2 linked regions of the Callithrix jacchus genome follow. The protein of the gene in region 1 purifies or fractionates together with the protein of each later gene. This does not show direct contact. Links are inferred from orthologs where the notes say so. Each region holds a gene or a part of one and is shown in the gene's direction. Other genes may lie near its edges.

The links. The genes of interacting proteins can lie anywhere in the genome.
Region 2: the proteins of kelch repeat and BTB domain-containing protein 7 (region 1) and TMEM160 purify together in Homo sapiens (co-immunoprecipitation; 3 studies listed by BioGRID and IntAct, counting the BioPlex papers as one, with this or other methods). This does not show direct contact. The link is inferred for Callithrix jacchus from reciprocal best matches to the Homo sapiens genes KBTBD7 and TMEM160.

The regions. Positions count from the first base shown.
Region 1 is NC_133506.1:160,342,737-160,352,822, reverse strand, and holds kelch repeat and BTB domain-containing protein 7, read left to right. Parts: upstream 1-3,592; 5' UTR 3,593-3,891; coding exon 3,892-5,997; 3' UTR 5,998-8,192; downstream 8,193-10,086. UniProt on the Homo sapiens protein: As part of the CUL3(KBTBD6/7) E3 ubiquitin ligase complex functions as a substrate adapter for the RAC1 guanine exchange factor (GEF) TIAM1, mediating its 'Lys-48' ubiquitination and proteasomal degradation.
Region 2 is NC_133523.1:41,012,148-41,022,083, reverse strand, and holds TMEM160 (transmembrane protein 160), read left to right. Parts: upstream 1-5,017; 5' UTR 5,018-5,027; coding exon 5,028-5,235; intron 5,236-7,526; coding exon 7,527-7,619; intron 7,620-7,966; coding exon 7,967-8,232; 3' UTR 8,233-8,314; downstream 8,315-9,936. Other genes in the region: NPAS1 (neuronal PAS domain-containing protein 1), read right to left, coding at 8,559-9,019.

The DNA.
Region 1 (10,086 bases):
GAGTGGATCTATCCGTGGGGCCAACAGCCTGAGAGCCTCAGGGGCTGACGGCATTCCAGGATGAAGGCCCCGAGCAGATTCTCATCAACGTTATTTATTCTCTCTTAAACAGGTGTTCTGTATTTACTCATAACTCAAAAAATATACCAAGTAGGCAGCTCTTATCCACCTACCACTAATTACAAACCAAAAGGTATCTTCCACGGAGGAGCCATGAGGCCGGGGTAAACTTAATGTTTCTCAGGTATGCCAGTTTATATTCCTATTATTAGCACATGAGAGTTCGATGGCTCTGTATCTCCACAATATGTAGTATCATTGACGTTTTTAAGTTTAGCCATTCTAGCGGGTATTCAGTGTTTCTCATTGTGAGTTTAATTTGCATTGGCCACGAGGTATACATATTACCAGTATTTTTTCCCAGTCTATGGCTTATCTTTAATTCCTTTCACTGCCTTTCCATAGGCCACAGCTTGTAATTTTGTTGAAATTCACTGTCTTTTTTAATGATCTGTTTTTTGTGTCCCAAGAAAACGTTGCCAACCCCAAAGCTATAGTCTTCTGTTTTCTTCTTGAAGCTTTATAGTTTCCACTTTTCCATTTTGTATTAATTTTGAGAAATTTGAGAAATTTTGAATTAAGTTTCTGCTTATGATGGAAGGTAGGGGCAAGGGCGAGTTTTTGTCTTACATTCTTGATCCAGTTGTTCCAACACCATTTGTTGAAAAGAATTTTCTTTCTTCATTAAACCGCACTGGTGTCGTGCTGTATTTCTAAAATGTTAAATTTCATTCCTCAGTTGCACTAGGCAAATATCATGTACTCAAGAGCTACATGTGTCTTCTGGCTACTGTATCAGCACAGATATAAAGTATTTCCAAGTTTTATGGGACAGCACTTAGCTCTAGACCTTAGGGAACAGTGCCTAATAAATATTTTCAATTCTGTGACAGGTAATCTAAACCAAATAACGCAGTAAGGGCAGATATAAGGAAGGTAAAAATCAGTCCCTGACCTTTTGTAGGTACCTAGGGAGGTCAAATTCATAGAGACGAAGAGTAGAACGGCAGTTGCCCGAAGTGGGAGACTATAGAGTTATTGTTTAATCGGTACAGAGCTTCGGTTTTGTGACAGTTGCAAAACCATGTGAATATAGTTAATGCTACAGACACTACACACGGAAAATTTTTAAATGGTAGATTTAGTGTTTTACCAATATTTTAAGAAGTTTTTTCAAAATGGCCATTCCTGAGCTGGGCATGTGGTTCACGCCTGTAATTGCAGCAACTTGGAGGCTCAGGCGGGAAGAGAGCTTGACACCAAGATTTCCAGACCAGGCTGGGCAACATAGTGAGACCCCATGTATCATTTTTTTAAAAATTAACTGGGCGTGGTGGCATGCATCTATAGTACTAGCTACTTGGGAGGCTGAGGCAGAAGTATTGCTTGAGCCCAGGAATTCGAGGCTGCAGTGAGCTATTATGGCGCCACTGCACTCCAAGCTGGGTAACAGAGCAAGAACCCGTCTCAAAAGATAATAAAAAAGGCTTTTTATTCCCGGCTGGTGTTCATTACAAGTGAGGAAACAATTGGCGTTACTGGCAATGACTGACTTAATTCTCTCTGGTGTAACTCAGGGACATCTAACATCTCTTTTTATTTACAGAGGAGATATTGGAGCCCAGAGGCTGACTTAATGTGTCTACCCTAGAATATTTCCAGCGGATACTCTTCAGCCAAGAGAAGAACAATTTGAAGTTATTCTCTTGTGATGTGTTATCCACACATGCATTGTAATACGGATGATTTTATTTATTTGGTTATGGTAACATAACAAACCAGCACCAGGAGCGGTCACTGTTTTTTAAATAAAAGTGATCTTTAAAAGTCTATCTGTTGCCAGTGCAGGGTGCCCAAGTTCTTGGCATTTTGAACAAAGAATTGGACAAAACTCATAAACAAAGCAAGGATAGAATGAAACAACAAAAGCAAAGATTTGTTGAAAATGAAAGTACACTCCATTGGGGCTCAAGGGCCCTGTTACAGCATTTCTAGAGGTTTAAAGACCCTCCGGAGGATTCCACTGGTTACTTGTTGTATGCCCTATGTAAATGAAGAGAATGAGGTAAAGTTACAGCCATTTGCTCGGCATACACCCTGTGGAGAGGATACTTCCTGTTAGAGCTGAGGTGTGCATCGGCCTATGTTCCCGGCCTCCAGGCCCTATTTTCCTGCCTCAAATCTCTAATACTTGGTTTTGATGATTTAGCTGTTGATCAACGCATATATTAAATAGTTTTGTAAAGCATAGACTATACTGTGTATTAATTCAAGGAACGTCAGGGCATGTATGAATGCTGAAGTCTGAGAATCATGTGCTTTTGTACAGAACAAAGTCTGTTGAAATGTTTTGAGTTAAAATTCTCCCTAAAACTTCTCTACGAAAGCAATTGCAGAGTCTGTTAACTGATTTGTAGAATGGCAGTGAAAGAGGCTGTATTTGGCCGGGCGCGGTGGCTCACGCCTGTAATCCCAGCACTTTGGGAGGCCGAGGTGGGTGGATCACGAGGTCAAGATATTGAGACCATCCTGGTCAACATGGTGAAACCCCGTCTCTACTAAAGATACAAAAACTTAGGCCGGCATGGTGGTGCATGCCTGTAATCCCAGCTACTCAGGAGGCTGAGGCAGGAGAATTGCCTGAACCCAGGAGGCGGAGGTTGCGGTGAGCCGAGATCGTGCCATTGCACTCCAGCCTGGGTAACAAGAGCTAAACTCCATCTCAAAAAAAAAAAGAAAGAGGCTGTATTATTCAATTTGAACACACTTACATTTGCAGCTTAATGAAAATACTCTTGCTCTGCAGAGATGAAATGTTAGTGAGAGCAGCAAATCATCTATTTGTATATGCTCAATTTGCATATTTGAGGCCATCTATTAATACTGCTCTTTAGGACCTCAACCTAACCATCTAAGACATTCTTGTTAAATGAGACCAATATACATCATTTAATATTGAAAATATTAATACTCTTCAGAACCTCTCAAAAAATAAAAATTAAAAATTGGAAGCTTTGTAACGTTTTGCAGTTTTAAAAAAAATACTTGGTTTCAAATTAGCGGGTGCCTCATTTATCATAAATTATAAAAGAGAATCTAACAATTATTGATTACATTCTAGGCACGGGGTAGTGATTTATTAATTATTCTTCTAATAAAAAAATACACATATTTAAGCATCCTATGTAACATATCATTCAACCCCACAAAACCCTGTAAAATATTGGCAGGGCGCAGTGGCTCACGCCTGTAATCCCAGCACTTTGAGAGGCCGAAGGAGGAGGATCATTTGAGCCCCCAGTAGTTCGAGACCAGCCTGGCAACAATAGTGAGACCTCGTTCTTCACCATCAAATCCCGGAGTATTAATTTCTACTTCTGTTAGAGCAGGCAACGAAAGGAAAGCTCGCGATATTTCACAAACTACTACTCCCAACATGCAAAGCGGTTTCCTTCCTCGGTCTTGGCCCGGCTGTCCGAGAGCCCCAGCAGGCCTCGGGGCGCGAAAGGCAACCCGGGAACCGTAGTTCTCCAGGGCGCCTAGCGGGATCGCCAGCGCGGCAGTGGGGCTTCCGCGGCTCCCAGCCAGCGGGTCCTGTGAACGCGAGCAGAGGCGGAGAAAGGGCGCGGAAGTGAGAGAGGGTGAGTCAGCCACTGTCTACGCGATAAAGGGAGGCCTCACCGCGGGGTAGGCAGAATTCAGGAGTCAGGTCCGTGCCGCAGTCTGTTCCAGGAAGCGGCTTGTGTTAGCGTCAGCGAGGGAAGGGTGAGGAGGAGCCAGAGCCGGGTCCTGCAGCCGTTCTCGCCTTCAGCGCCCGTCGCCATCTCCATCATGCAGTCCCGGGAGGACGCCCCGCGCTCTCGCCGCCTCGCCAGTCCCCGCGGTGGGAGGCGGCCCAAGAGGATTTCCAAGCCCTCGGTTTCGGCCTTTTTCACGGGCCCAGAGGAATTAAAGGACACGGCCCATTCTGCAGCCCTCCTGGCCCAGCTCAAGTCCTTCTACGACGCGCGGCTGCTGTGCGATGTGACCATCGAGGTGGTAACGCCCGGCAGCGGGCCCGGCACGGGTCGCCTCTTTTCCTGCAACCGCAACGTGCTGGCAGCTGCGTGTCCCTACTTCAAGAGCATGTTCACAGGTGGCATGTACGAGAGCCAGCAGGCCAGCGTGACCATGCACGACGTGGACGCCGAGTCCTTCGAGGTGCTGGTGGACTATTGCTACACGGGTCGTGTGTCGCTCAGTGAGGCCAACGTGCAGCGCCTGTACGCGGCCTCGGACATGCTGCAGCTGGAGTACGTGCGGGAAGCCTGTGCCTCCTTCTTAGCCCGACGCCTGGACCTGACCAACTGCACCGCCATCCTCAAGTTTGCAGACGCCTTTGACCATCACAAGCTGAGGTCTCAGGCCCAGTCCTATATAGCTCACAACTTCAAGCAGCTCAGCCGAATGGGTTCGATTCGGGAGGAGACTCTAGCAGATCTGACCCTGGCCCAGCTGCTGGCTGTTCTGCGCCTGGATAGTCTGGACGTGGAGAGTGAGCGGACAGTGTGCCACGTAGCAGTGCAGTGGCTGGAGGCTGCTCCTAAAGAGCGGGGTCCCAGTGCTGCAGAAGTCTTCAAGTGCGTGCGCTGGACGCACTTCACTGAGGAAGATCAGGACTACTTAGAAGGGCTGCTGAGCAAGTCCTTAGTGAGGAAGTACTGCCTGGGCGTTGTTGAAGGGGCCCTGCAGATGCGCTATGGCGACCTGCTGTACAAGTCTCTGGTGCCAGTGCCAAACAGCAGCAGCAGCAGCGGCAGCAGCGGCAGCAGCAGCAGCAGCAGTGGCAGCAGCAGCAGCAACAGCAGCAACAACAACTCTGTTGTACCTGCAGCAGAAAATCCACCTCAGAGGCTGGGTATGTGTGCCAAGGAGATGGTGATCTTCTTTGGACACCCCAGAGATCCGTTTCTCTGCTATGACCCTTACTCGGGGGACATTTACACAATGCCGTCACCTTTAACCAGCTTTGCTCACACTAAGACTATCACCTCCTCAGCTGTCTGTGTCTCCCCAGATCATGACATCTACCTAGCTGCCCAGCCCAGGAAAGACCTCTGGGTGTATAAACCAGCTCAGAATAGTTGGCAGCAACTTGCAGATCGCTTGCTGTGTCGCGAGGGCATGGATGTGGCATACCTCAATGGCTACATCTACATTTTGGGGGGACGAGACCCTATTACTGGAGTTAAATTGAAGGAAGTGGAATGCTACAGTGTTCAGAGAAACCAGTGGGCATTGGTGGCTCCTGTCCCTCATTCCTTCTATTCTTTTGAACTCATAGTGGTTCAGAACTATCTTTATGCTGTCAACAGTAAGCGCATGCTCTGCTATGATCCTAGCCACAATATGTGGCTAAACTGTGCTTCTCTTAAACGCAGTGACTTTCAGGAAGCGTGTGTCTTCAATGATGAAATCTATTGTATCTGTGACATCCCAGTCATGAAGGTCTACAACCCAGCTAGGGGAGAATGGAGGCGGATTAGTAATATTCCTTTGGATTCAGAAACTCACAACTACCAGATTGTCAATCATGAGCAAAAGTTGCTGCTCATCACTTCTACAACCCCACAATGGAAAAAGAACCGAGTGACAGTGTATGAGTATGATACTAGGGAAGATCAGTGGATTAATATAGGTACCATGTTAGGCCTTTTGCAGTTTGACTCTGGCTTTATTTGCCTTTGTGCTCGAGTTTATCCTTCCTGCCTCGAACCTGGTCAGAGTTTCATTACTGAGGAAGATGATGCACGGAGTGAGTCTAGTACTGAATGGGACTTAGATGGATTCAGTGAACTGGACTCTGAGTCAGGAAGTTCAAGTTCTTTTTCAGATGATGAAGTCTGGGTGCAGGTAGCACCTCAGCGAAATGCACAGGATCAGCAGGGCTCTTTGTAAATAGTATTTTGAGACACTAAGATGTTTCTACTGCTATGGAATGTATGTTAAAAAGATATCCTCTCTTTTTCTTGGGAAAAAAAGGTTGATTACGACCACAGATTTGGTTTAGAAAGGGTAACATTTTGAAATACTACAGGGTTTAAACAGTCCCTGAAACCAACCCGTTTAATAATTTACTGTGCTGAAAGTCCAAAATTAAAATATGCAAACAAGAACTATATAATTGGTTGGGATGCTTGGTAGGCTTTTTCCTGGTTCAGGTATTCATCCCACAGTGGACTGTTTTGATTAGTGGGCTTATTTTTTTTTTAATTCAGTCTTCTGTTAATTTTTAAGTTTTCTTTAGTGCCACAAAGAATTTATCTTTTAAATCTGTATAATAGAAAACTGGACTAGGGATTGTTGATGGCGTTTTGAAGGATGAGTACTTTCAAAATAATGAAAGTGGTAGATTTTCAAAATCTTAAACTAGTCAGTTCTTTATATTCTAAGTTAAATATAGTTTGTAAAATTATTTTGGTTTTCTTCTACAAAGGAAAAAAATTGGATATATGTATGTTAAGGTTACTGAATAGTGATTTCATTTTGATAATGTGCAGAATGGCCTCACAAGCACACAGAAAGTAAAAAAAAAGGATTCCACACCCTTCTAAACCAAACCAAAACAAAACACAAGGTAACTTGCTTTTTACATTTGTATTTTTAATCCATGCCCATTACACGCTTTATTGAGTCAGAGGAACAATTCCTGAACATATAATTGGGTAATGTAAATTTTTATCCATTGGTCATGGCTTGTCTTAAAATGTTTATTTGCCTCCGTAAAATATTTTGGCTGTATAGGTTTGGTGTTTGTCCTAAAGGATTCTTCAACAAAAAGTGATTTATTCATTACTGTTTTCGTGAGATAATATGGTTTAGAACATACGTATAAGCTAAAAACAGTATTTTACACAGATCAGTAGTTATTGTGTCTATCAGCTATAAAACAAGTGCCAGCAAAGAACTTTAAAACTTTAAGCTGTGTATTATAGAACTGTTTTGTGTAGCATTGGAATATTGTCCATTTTGTAAGTCACTGTAAATGTTCTTAATTATCAGCTTGAAAGTATTTTTGTATGAAAAGTTGACACTGAACAACCTAAGTGGATGATGGCATTTGGGGCCAGTAGTGAAAGTATGTTTCCTCTAAAATATTTCCCTAAACAGTGGTATACATAGTTTTTTTATTGAGATTTGTATATGTTCTGTGTTTCTCTGTGAACATGTTTCAGTCTCTGTCACCATATGTAAGGGAAAGTCCATAAATATAGACTAAATTGCACAAAACTGACATTGTTAATTACAGGAAATATAGGTGCTTACCTTTTGAAGGTTTATTAACACATATGGTTGTCACGACACATATAAATGGTGTACATATACAGATGTTTATGGTGTATAAATTTTTCTATATCCAATTAGAATTATCTTCCTGATTCTATATTCAATAACATGCTAATTCCTCTTCTATGTTTATTCTCTAGTGACAGAATGCTAACTTTTCTTACAGCCTGGCAGAGGACAGTCTGGTCTAGGATGGGGAACTGAATTTCTGAATGAATAAAAAGGAAAGGGAAAGGATAAACAAAACAAAGCACAATAGTGTTTCTCAGTCATTTTGATTGGCCATTTGAACAACCTACGAGACCTTCCTGTTTATTTCTAGTGAAGTAATATGCCTGCCCTAGCAGTGTATGTGTCTTCAAAAGGGTAAACATGCTTTAGCAACCTAAGAGTAAATTTTGTTCATTTGACATCAGGGATGTTATAAGTACTGCACTTAATACAAAGCTATTTCTCAATTGTGTTATTTTTGAGCCAAATTTTTCTTCACCATTAACTTCTTGTTGGTAGCTTTTTGTTTTGTAAAAATTGAGGATGACAGTGCCTATCTCAACCAGATTATCCATCTGCAGAATTAAAGTCTGCAACTGAGAAACACAAGACAAATGCTCCAATTTGTCTTTCTCAACCTTTGAATTAAAGCCTAGCCTACATAGAGGGAATGACTTGGTTTACAGTGAGGTTTTCTTTGGAAGGGATTTTGGTTTTGTGATATATTTGTGAATTAAGGAGTAGATGTTAGCCTTATTTCATAGATAAGTTATTTGTACATGGTTGGTTATAAATAAAACTGGTACTAGAACCCAGATTTCCTGACTTTCTGATTCAGTGGTTCTGCTAAATGTATAAAATTCTTGCTGTGCAGCGATCTAGCAGTGTTGAAAGATCTTCATGACAAAAACCCTTTTGTAAGTTTTCCAATTAATCAGTTCATCATTTAACAAGTGCTCACTATAATGTCATTTGTAGGACTGCCATTGGTAAGATTTAGTTTTATTTCATACGCTTTTAAATTCAAACAATAAGTAATTGTTTTCAAAAAAGTAAAATAGAAGACTAATTTAGCAAATAACTTGTTTAAATTTAGTTTTAGGATTTAGTTTAAGTTATAATAGCCCCTTCATGTCTCTTCTAGTTGAGCAGTAGTTTTCTGTTTTGGTGCCTGGATCTTAATAGAGAATATGATGAACACTTTTGACCCATTCTTCAGGAAAATGCATATGTTCATATTTTCATAATTTTAAGGGTATAATGACATTTCTGAAGTTCATCCACACACCCAGGGTAAAAAACGCTTGTGACAAGGTTTTGTCTACAAAAAGAAATTAGCATTTTTCACAAGACATTTTTCAAATGTTTGTAGGGTGAAAGAGTAATTCCCAAAATAGGGCTAAAGAAATAATACACATTCACCATCTGAAAGAAATGTGGAAATGAGTACCTCAGAACAAAGGCAAAGTTGACATTTCTGAAATTCAAATTTCCTCATGATTAATGCAAAAAGGAGTAATGAAATATAAACTCTTCAGAGGACAAAGTGCACTCATGTATATGAAACCTCTGAACCTTAACTGTTACACAAATGTAAGCGATAATGATTATTGCCCAAGAAGGCTGTGTATATTAGGATTTAAAGAAAAATACATGTTTGTTCAGATGTTTAGAACTACTGACATCACGGCTCTTTATTATAAATATATCTTAAGTAGCAAAAGTTCATTGTCTCTTCATAAATAGGAAAACAAGTGGTTGGAAAAGTGCATGTACCTAAAAGGGATCTATAGTAAATGTAGTAAAAAATAGAATCAATTTGTTACCCCCCTGCTCATTAAACCAGGAACCAGTAATTTGCCTGATGTCATTTTTACCATTTGTGCTGAAGTGAAAAACTATGAAACACAACTAATGAGTTGTAAAACAAAAATTATTCTATTAAACTTGTTTTATTGTTCATAAATTGGAAATGTAAACAATTTTCAGCCTTACATCTGTCTGCTAAAAACTAAAAAAAAGTTGACTGGTCTTTGAAATACAAAAATCTGATAGCCAGGATGTAAATATCCTTTCATCAAATTTCTGCTTCCCTATCTATTTGAAACTTCAAAACTGTTTCCTCTTTATAACTAATTTTAAAAGAAAATTTGTTATAGCAGATATAACAAGCAATCCCAAGAGAATGAGTTGATAATGTATTTGAGAACCGTAGAGTGAATTAAGTATATACAAACCAATTTTTAAGTGAAAAACAACAACAAAAAGGTACTGTGGGAGAACTTGCCAGATTTTAGAGGAGTACCTTATAGGCAATAGATTTTAAGCCGTTTTCTTAACTCTGGGCTATTTTGTCACCTAGACCTTTGCCAACGGCCTCTGTTTCTCACTTTACCCTTGTGGACTCAACATGGTCCAAAGGCACAGAGCCAGGTAGGGAACAGATAGTGTTGCATATTTTTCCCTCCATATCTGAGACCTTTTCTCCTACTCTGCGGGGAGTCTCTCCAATGGAGTTCTTTTACACCGTCACTGCCAAAGCAGTTTTGGCTACTTGGACCCACCATACCTTAATCAAGAATATTCTTTTAGGGACAAATTATTTGTTAATTTTGGGGAACCTAGCAAATAGCAATGGTTGTCACTTCAAGGCACAGCCTTATCCAGAGTGTCAGTGTCTTCAACGCTTTCTTAGTACAGAGACTATAT
Region 2 (9,936 bases), on another chromosome or scaffold:
GTTGCATTAGAGAGAATGTCCTAGTGTCAGAAATCTTCAAGCACCTCAAAACCAAGCCAAAAAGACATTTACTTTCTATGTTAAGCGGGGGTTTGCAGTCTGGGAAAGCTGCACAGATGACAGGGACTAAGCCAACTGCCAAACAGGGCTGCATGGGTTCAGGCAGTTCTCAGGACATGAACCAGGAGGCAGCTTCCACATTTCATTCCTGCTCAGACTGGAGGGTGAGCTAGAAGCTCAGGGGCCCCTGGAAGGAGATAAACCTGACTCATGTTTGCTCTAGACAAAGCAGGGGTCAGATGGGGGCAGCTAGGCTAGGCAAGGTGGCTCACACCTGTAATCCCATGACTTTGGGGGGCTGAGGTGGGTGGATCACCTGAAGTTTGGAGTTCGAGACCAGCCTGACCAATATGGTGTAACCCTATCTCAAAAAAAAAAAAAAAAAAAAAAAAGACAACTGTGAATTCTTGATCAGAAAAAAATGTTAAAGCCAGGGGCAGTGGCTCTCGCCTGTAATTATAGCACTTTGGGGGGCCAAGGTGGCCAGATCACCTGAAGTCAGGAGTTTAAAACCAGTCTGACCAACATAGTGAAACCCCGTCTTTAAAAAAAAAGAGAGAGAGAAAAGACAGGGTCTCTCTCTCTTGCCCAGGCTGGAGTGCAGTGGCACAATCATAGCTCTCTGCAGCCTCGATCTCCTGGGCTCAAGCAGCCCTCCCACCTCAGCCTGTGAAGTAGCTGGGACTGCAAGTGTACACCACTACACCCAGCTAATTTAAAAAAAATTTTATATAAAATGAGGTTTCAGGCCGGGTGCAGTGGCTCACACCTGTAGTTCCAGCACTTTGGGAGGCTGAGGCAGGTGAATCACTTGAGGTCAGGAGTTTGAGACCAGCCTGGCCAACATGGCAAAACACTGTCTCTACTAAAAATACAAAAATTAGCCTGGAATAGTGGCACATGTCTGTAGTCCCAGCTACTCAGGAGGCTGAGGCAGGAGAATCACTTGAACCTGGGAGGCAGAGGTTGCAGTGAGATGAGATCACACCACTGCACTCCAGCCCGGGTGACAGAGCCAGACTCTGACTCAAAACAAACAAAAAACGAAATGAGCCAGGCGCGGTGGCTCACGCCTGTAATCCCAGCACTTTGGGAGGCAAGGCGGGTGGATCATGAGGTCAACAGATCGAGACCATCCTGGTCAACATGGTGAAACCCCATCTCTACTAAAAATACAAAAAATTAGCTGGGCATGGTGGCGCATGCCTGTAATCCCAGCTACTCAGGAGGTTGAGGCAGGAGAATTGCCTGAACTCAGGAGGCGGAGGTCGCAGTGAGCCGAGATCGCGCCATTGCACTCCAGCCTGGGCAACAAGAGCGAAACTCCATCTCAAAAAAAAAACAACAACAAAAAAAACGAAATGAGGTTTCATTTTGTTGCCCAGGCTGGTCCTGAACTCCTGGCCTCAAGCCATCCTCCCACCTCAGCCTCCCAAAGCACTCAGATTACACACATAAACCCTTGTGCTCAGCCTTCAAGGATGCTTTAAATGTGCATCTGGTGATGTTCCCCAGCTTAAACCCACCAATGAGAGGAAGACCTTCCAGAACCCTCCACTGCCCCCTGGGACCTTGGCTACAAGGCCTGCTGGGCCAGGCACCTCTGGAAATCAGCTCCTTTATCTTCTACTGGGCAGGGCTTGGATTTGATGGAGAGGAAGGGTAGGGGAGCTACCAAGGGGGTTAAGCTAGAGGAGGGAGTTCAAATGGACTGCACTGCACAGCCCGCAGGCTGGCCATGAATGCAGAGCTTTAAATGGGATTAAGTGCAAGCTGAAAATATTCCAGACACATTTTTCACATTCTTGGCTGGTGAAATGTTTTATGCTGATGAGAGAAGGTGGAGCTGAATAGCTGAACACCAGAAGAGGTCAAGGCAGAGAAAACAAATCTGCCTTAAAGAGACAGATCTTGACTGGGCACTGTGGCTCATGGCTGTAATCTCAGCACTTTGGGAGGCTGATGCGGGTGGATCATCTGAGGTCGCGGGTTCGAGACCAGCCTTTTTTTAATAGAGACAAACTGTCTCTACTAAAAATACAAAATTAGTCAGGCCTGGTGGCACCTGCCTGTAATCCCAGCTACTTGGGAGGCCGAGGCAAGAGAATTGCTTGAATCTGGGAGGCAGAAGTTTAGGTGAGTTGAGATGGTGCCATTGCACTCCAGCCTGGGCAACAAGAGCGAAACCCTGTCTCAAAAAAGAAAGAAAAAAAGAGACTGATTTTTTCTTGAAAAAAATTTTTTTAACACAGAGTTTTACTCTTGTTGCCCAGGCTGGAGTCCAATGGCATGATCTCGGCTCACCACAACCCCTGCCTCCTGGGTTCAGGTGATTCTCCTGCCTCAGCCTCTGGAGTAGCTGGGATTACAGGCATGCACCACCACACACGGCTACTTTTTGTATTGTCAGTAGAGACAGGGTTTCATCATATTGACCAGACTGATCTCAAACTCCTGACCTTGTGATCCACCTGCCTCAGCCTCCCAAAGTGCTTGGATTACAGACATGAGCCACCACCAGCAGCCTACATTAATTGTTTCTTGGTTCTCCGTCCATCCCAAGAATGTCATCACCCCCAGGACACGAATATTTATAATTTCTTTGTTGTTTGCTGCTGCATTCCCAGTGCTTCAAACAAAACCTGTCCCACAGTAGATACTCAATAAATATTTGCTGAATTAATAAATGGGAAATCTACCTTAGGGAGCCTGGAGACCATTGGCCATCCTGGTTTCAGTTTTCTAGGTGAAATACAATAAGGATTTGGACTAGGGGAGGGATCCAGAGAAATAGATAGCTGTTGATAAGCTCACCTATCCACCTGTATGTCTCCCTGCCACAGCACATCCTCTATTGAGAGACGGAAGGATCTTCTTTTTTTTTTTTTTGAGATGGAGTCTTGCTCTGTTGCCCAGGCTAGACTGCAGTGGCTCCATCTTGGCTCACTGCAAACTTCGCCTCCTGGGTTCAAGCGATTCTCCTGCCTCAGCCTCCCAAGTAGCTGGGACTACAGGCGCCTGCCATCACACTCAGCAAATTTTTGTATTTTTAATAGAGACATGGTTTTACCATATCTGGGGCTGGTCTCAAACTCCTGACCTGGTGGTCCACTTGATTTGGCCTCTCAAAGTGCTGGGATTACAGGCATGAGCCACAGCGCACAGCCAGGATCTTGTTATTTATTTATTTATTTATTTATTTTTCTTTCTTCCTTTTTTTCTTGGAACTGCAGGCTGCTATGTCCAGGGAAGGCTCTTTTTTTTTTTTTTTTTTTTTGAGGGGGTTGGAGTCTCGCTCTGTCGCTCAGGCTGGAGTGCTGTGGCAAGATCTCGACTCACTGCAACCTCTGCCTTCCAGGTTCAAGTAATTCTTGTGCCTCAGCCTCTGAGTAACTGGGATGACAGGTGTGCACCACCATACCTGGCTAATCTTTGTATTTTTAGTAGAGACAGAGTTTCACCATGTTGGCCAAGCTTGTCCCAAACTCCTGACCTCAAGTGATCCACCTGCCTCAGGCCCCCAAAGTGTTGGGATTACAGGCCTGAGCCACCACGGCCAGACGGAAGGAACTTCTTCTTCTTCTTTTTTTTTTTTTTATAAAGAAGGGGTTTCACCATGTTGGTCAGACAGTTCTTGAACTCCTGACCTCAGGTGATCCACCCGCCTTAGCCTTCCAAAGTGCTGGGAATACAGGTGTGAGCCACCGCACCTAGCCCAGAAGGATCTTCTTCTTCTTTTTCTTTTTTTTGAGATGGAGTTTCGCTCTTGTTACCCAGGCTGGAGTGCAATGGTGCGATCTCGGCTCACCGCAACCTCTGCCTCCTGGGTTCAGGCAATTCTCCTGCCTCAGCCTCCTGAGTACTTGGGATTACAGGCACACGCCACCATGCCCAGCTAATTTTTTGTACTTTTAGTAGAGACGGGGTTTCACCATGTTGACTAGGATGGTCTCAATCTCTTGACCTCGTGATCCACCCGCCTCGGCCTCCCAAAGTGCTGGGATTACAGGCTTGAACCACCGCGTCTGGCGGCCCAGAAGGATCTTCTTAACACATAAATTGAATATTGTCAATTTTTTTTTTTTTTTGCCTCTTCATAAATCCTCTATGGCTTCCCAGTGCACAGGATCAGAAAGACACAGATTTAAAGTCTTTTTTTTTTTTTTTTTTTTTGGTCTCATAATAAATAGAGCTGCAGGGCCAGGCGTGGTGGCTCACGCCAAATTAATGCCGTGGGTTAATCATCACGATATCTTTTTATGTGAAGAAAAATTAGGCCGGGCGTGGTGGCTCCCGCCTGTAATCTCAGCACTTTGGGAAGCCTAGGCTGGCGGATCACCTGAGATCAGGAGGAGTTCAAGACCAGCCTGGCCAACATGGTGAAACCCTGTCTTTGAAAAAAAAAAAAAAAGAAAAATTAATGTGTCAGGTGCCATCTTATTTTACATCTGCATAGAAAAAAGACAGGAATACAACAAAATGGTAGTAGTAATCACTCATTGGGAATTACTGGTGAGGTTTACTCTCCTCTTTGGGATCCTGCAGATTTTGCAAAGGTTCTATATTAAGTGCCCCACGTTTTGTTTTGTTTTCTCGCCATTGGAATTAACGTTGTTAATACAAACTACAATAGGTGTTCAGCATGTACTTCGTTTAAAAAAAAAAAAAAGGATAAAAACTACAAGTCCCTGCAGACATCTCGCTGACGGCTTCTGAAGATCGGCCTTCCCCGAGTGCAATGATTTCTGGGATTCGTAGTCCAGTGACAAAATCAAGGAGGGACGCACACTACCGGCCTAGATGACAGAAGGGGGGAATCGCTATCATTCCAACCAATGGACAGTTCGAGCCGGGCCTGAATGGCGAGCGCATGGCCAATGGATAAGCCGTTTATCCTGAGTGACGCGGGTTGCAACCTACCAGAGACCCGTGGGGCGGTACGGCGCGCAGCGGCAGTAGTGCGAACCATGGGAGGCGGCTGGTGGTGGGCTCGGGCCGCCCGGCTGGCCCGTCTCCGCTTCCGGAGGTCGTTACTGCCGCCTCAGCGGCCCCGGAGCGGGGGTGCTCGGGGGTCCGTTGCTCCTGGCCACGGCCCCCGCGCCGGGGCTTCGCCGCCCCCGGTGTCCGAGCTGGACCGTGCAGACGCCTGGCTCCTCCGGAAGGCGCACGAGACAGGTCAGTTGCTGGGGTTGGGGGCGGTGTGGATGGGACGGGGTGGGGACTTCTGCAGGAAACGGGGCCCGGGTTCGGCTGCGGGAAGGGCTTCCGTGTGAGCGCAGGGAAGCGCAGGTGCCCGCAGAGAGGACGGGCTTGCGGGGAGGACGGAGACCCCGGGTAACCGGGCGCAGTAGAGATGGGAGGGGGTTGTCGGGTTGCTGGAGGCAGCCTCATAGAATCGCGCCTGCCGTGAAGAGAGGGGCTTCCAGGGAGAGCTTAGAGTCTGTGGAGTTGTATACAAGAAGGATCCGTTCTGATTGCAGGGGCCACCACTGTGCAGAGAGCGGGAGTGTGGATCCTCGCAGAAGAGGGGGAAGCTCTGGATTGGAGGAGGGGAAACCAATAGGGAAAAACCTCTCAGCTGATTGGAAGGGGAGGTGATCTAGGCTGCAGGGGGAGGGGCTTGTATCGGAGGCGAGGTCCCGAATGGAGCAGACTAGCTATCTTTTAAAAAAATGTTTCAAATTACAGTGCCTTGCTCTGTCACCTGGGCTGGAGTGCGGTGGTGCAACGGTAGCGCACTGCAGCCTTGAACTCGTGGGCTCAACCATCCTCCTGCCTCAGCCTCCTGCTTAGCTGAGCTAAGGAGCTACAGGCACACACCACTGCGCCCAACTATTTTAATTTTTTTTTTTTTTTTTTTTTTTTTGAGACGGAGTTTCTCTCTTGTTGCCCAGGCTGGAGTGCAGTGGCGCAATCTTGGCTCACTGCAACCTCTGCCTCCCAGGTTCAAGTGATTCTCCTGCTTCAGTCTCTTTGTTTTTATTTATTTTAATTTTTTTATTTTCCTGCTTCAGTCTCCTGAGTAGCTGGGATTACAGGCATGCACCACCACGCCCTGCTAATTTTGTATTTTTAGTAGAAACGGGGTTTCTCCATGTTAGGCTGGTCTTGAACTCGCGACCTCAGGTGATCTGCTTGCCTCGGGCTCCCAAAGTGCTGGGATTACAGGCGTGAGCCACCGCGCCTGGCTATTTTAATTTAGGTAGAGATGGGGTCTTGCTTTTTTGCCCAGGCTGGTCTCGAACTCTTGGTCTTAGACAGTCCTCCCGCCTTGGCCTCTCAACGTGCTGGGATTACAGGCATGAGCCACCTCACCTGGCCAGGACTGGGCATCTAGATATAGGATGTAGTGGGCTGTCCACACCAGGGACTTGAATGGAGATGGACGTGGATGGGATTGGTCCAGGCCATACTCGGTAGGAGATGGTGGCATTTGAAGGAAAGGCAGGGCGAGGCTAGGGAGCAGCTTGGGTTAGGAAACAGTTTGTCCCAGAGTTCTGAGAAAGAAGTGAGCTGACAGGCTGTGGGGGTACACGTAGAGGGAAGGGGTTGACCAAGATGGCTTTTTTTTTTTTTTGAGATGGAGTCTTGCTCTGTCACCAGTCTGGAGTGCAGTGGTGCAATCTCGGCTCGCTGCAACCTCTGCTTCCTGGTTTCAAGCGATTCTTCTGCCTCAGCTTCCCGAGTAGCTGGGACCAGAGGCACGTGCCACCATGTCCGGCTAATTTTTGTATTTTTAGTAGAGACGGGGTTTCACCATGTTGGCCAGGATGGTCTCGATCTCCTGACCTCGTGATCCGCCCACTTGGCCTCCCAAAGTGCTGGGATTACAGGCGTGAGCCACCGCGCCCAACCCCAAGATGGCTTCTAAGAGTCTGGAGGTTCAGCCACTTTGGTCCTAGATTTTTCCCCATATTCTGCAGGAACCATCATCTTGAATCCTTTTTATTTTGAGGCAGTGTCCTGCTCTGTCACCCAGGCTGGAGTTCAGTGGCAGGATCTCGCCTCACTGCAACATCTGCTTCCCGGGTTCAAGTGAGTCTCCTGCCTCAGCTTCCGGAGTAGCTGGGACTACAGGCGTGTGCCACCACACCCAACTAATTTGTGTATTTTTAGTAGAGACGGGGGATTTACTGTGTTGGCAGGCTGGTCTCAAACTCCTGACTCATGATCTGCCTGCCTTGGCCTCCCAAAGTGCTGGGATCTACGGGTGTGAGCCACTGCGCCCAGCCCTTGAATCCTTAGTGTTGCAGAGTTTGGGGGAGAAGGGCTCTAAAGTGGTGGCCAGAGAGGGTGTGGGGGATGTGGTTAGGTGAGGGGCTTACTGGAAGAGATGAGGATTTGGGGTGGGCTTGCCTTGTGGCTGGACGGGGTGGGGGAGCTGGAGGCCCCTTACTTCGAGCGGGTGAGGGGGATTGAGGTAGGGTTGCAGGTGATGCTAATCCCCCCATACCCCCTCCCTGCAGCCTTCCTCTCCTGGTTCCGAAATGGCCTCCTGGCATCGGGCATCGGGGTCATCTCCTTCATGCAGAGTGACATGGGTCGGGAAGCAGCCTATGGTGAGTGCAGACGCCCCCTCTTGCCCCCCCTCAGGGATCCAGGAATGCACAGCCCCTGCCCCCTGCCCTGGTTAGGATAGACTCTCTCCCCATCCTATCCCCGGTAGTAAGTACAGAACCCCCATTCTTCCCCTACCAGATGACACCCCTCCCATGGGCACTAGGCCCACAAGTGGGTGGCCCAGGACATGGCTATGGTCCCCTCCCCTCCGATCTGATTCTTAAAGGTGCAGTCCAGCCCCTACCACTATTCCTGTCTCCGCTCCAGACCATCCCCCACACCCCGATACCTTTTCCTCTCCCAACCCCGCGACCTTGGGCCTGGCACTACCCTGCCTCTCCCGCAGGCTTCTTCCTGCTGGGCGGCCTGTGCGTGGTGTGGGGCAGCGCCTCGTACACAGTGGGCCTGGCGGCGCTGCGAGGACCCATGCAGCTGACGCTGGGGGGCGCGGCCGCGGGCGTGGGCGCCGTGCTGGCCGCCAGCCTGCTCTGGGCGTGCGCCGTGGGCCTCTACATGGGGCAGCTGGAGCTGGACGTGGAGCTGGTACCCGAGGACGACGGGGCGGCCTCCGCGGAAGGCCCTGATGATGCGGGTCGGCCACCACCTGAGTGAGCCACACGGCCGCGGGGCTTGGCAGGCGCTGGACGGCGGCGCCCGAGGACTGGGACATTAAAACCTGACCTCCCCTCCTCCAGATGCCGAGTGCTGGTTCGTGTTCCTTGGGGAAGGGCAGCCAGGAGCGGACTAACCCGGGAGGCGGGAGAGGGAGACGAGGACCCGCGGGGAGCCAGAAACGGACAGAGGAGCTCACAGCCAGGAGCCCAAACCACTGCAAGGGGAGCCGGCCTTTAATTCTCAGGGCTACGGGCAGAGCAGGGCCGCCATCCCAGGGGGCCCCCAGCCGTCGCAGTGTCCAGCGCCGGCGGCTCTGCCAGTCCTCAGTCCCCCTTCCGCGGCAGCCTGGTGCCCGCAGACCCCGGATAGGGCAGGCCCAGGGGCGGGTAAAAGGCCTCTGGGAGCGCGGGGCCTGGGCCCAGCCTCTGCAGATGCGGGTACACCAGGCCCAGCTCCGCCGGGCCATAGCGGATGGCACCGGGTGTGCACAGACCCCGCACCACGGGCGGCAGGAAGCCCGCATGCAGGAGGGTGGGCGGGGGGTCCCCGGGAGGTGTCAGGCCCCACGGCCGCACTGGGTCCTGCTTCAGGGCCCCCGCCCGGATGACAGAGGTGAACTCGGGCCGGGGTGGGGCCGGGTGGCCGGAGGGATCCTCGTCACCACTGTCCTCTGAGCCTTCGGTTTCCCTCGGGACGGGCTCCACTTTGATGCGTTTGCCCTGCGTCTGGGGGGCCTCCTTCTCCAGCGAGGCAGTCTCCTTCCCTTCTGCTGGAGGCTCCGGCTCTGCAAGAGGAAGATGCTCAGGGCTTGTGTGTGTCCCCAGCCCCTCAGTCTTCCCATCTGTGGAATGGAGCTGTGCTCAGTGGGCCAGGCCTGTAGTTCTCAGCTGGGAGTGGTTTTTTTTTTTTTTTTTCTTTTTTTTGGGTATTGCTCTATTGCCCAGACTGGAGTGCAGTGACACGATCTCAGCTCACTGCAACCTCTGCCTCTGGGGTTCAAGCGATAAGTGATTCTCCTGCCTCAGCCTCCCAAGTAGCTGGGATTACAGGCATGTGCCACCACACCCAGTTAATTTTTCTATTTTTAGTAGAGATGTGTTATCAGCATGTTGGCCAGGCCAGTCTTGAACTCCTGACCTCAGGTGATCGGCCCACCTTGGCCTCCCAAAGTGCTGGGATTATAGGCGTTAGCCCCATGCTGTCTAGCTGGGAGTGGTTCTGTCCCCAGGAGACACCTGGCAATATCTGGAAACATTTTGGGATGTCACAGCCCTGGGGAGGGTACTGTTGGCATCCAGAGGGGAGAGGCCGGGGTGCTGTGAAATAAACATCCCAGTGTCTCCCCAGCACAGAACCACCTGGCCCTAAAATGTCAGTAGAGCCGAGATCAAGAAACCCTGGTCTAGACCTGTACTGTTGAATGCAAGTTTCCAGGATAGAGCTTTCCGTGGTATTGGAAACATTCTATATCTGAACTGTCCCACGAAGCAGCCACTGGCCATATGTGGTCACTGTGCACATGAAATGTGGCAGGTGTGGGTGAGGACATGGATTTAAAGTTGTTTTTTTGCCGGGCTCATACCTGTAATCCCAGCACTTTAGGAGGCTGAGGAGAGTGATCACCTGAGGTGGGGAGTTTGAGACCAACCTGGCCAACATGGCAAACCCCGTCTCTACCAAAAATACTGAATGAGCCAGGTG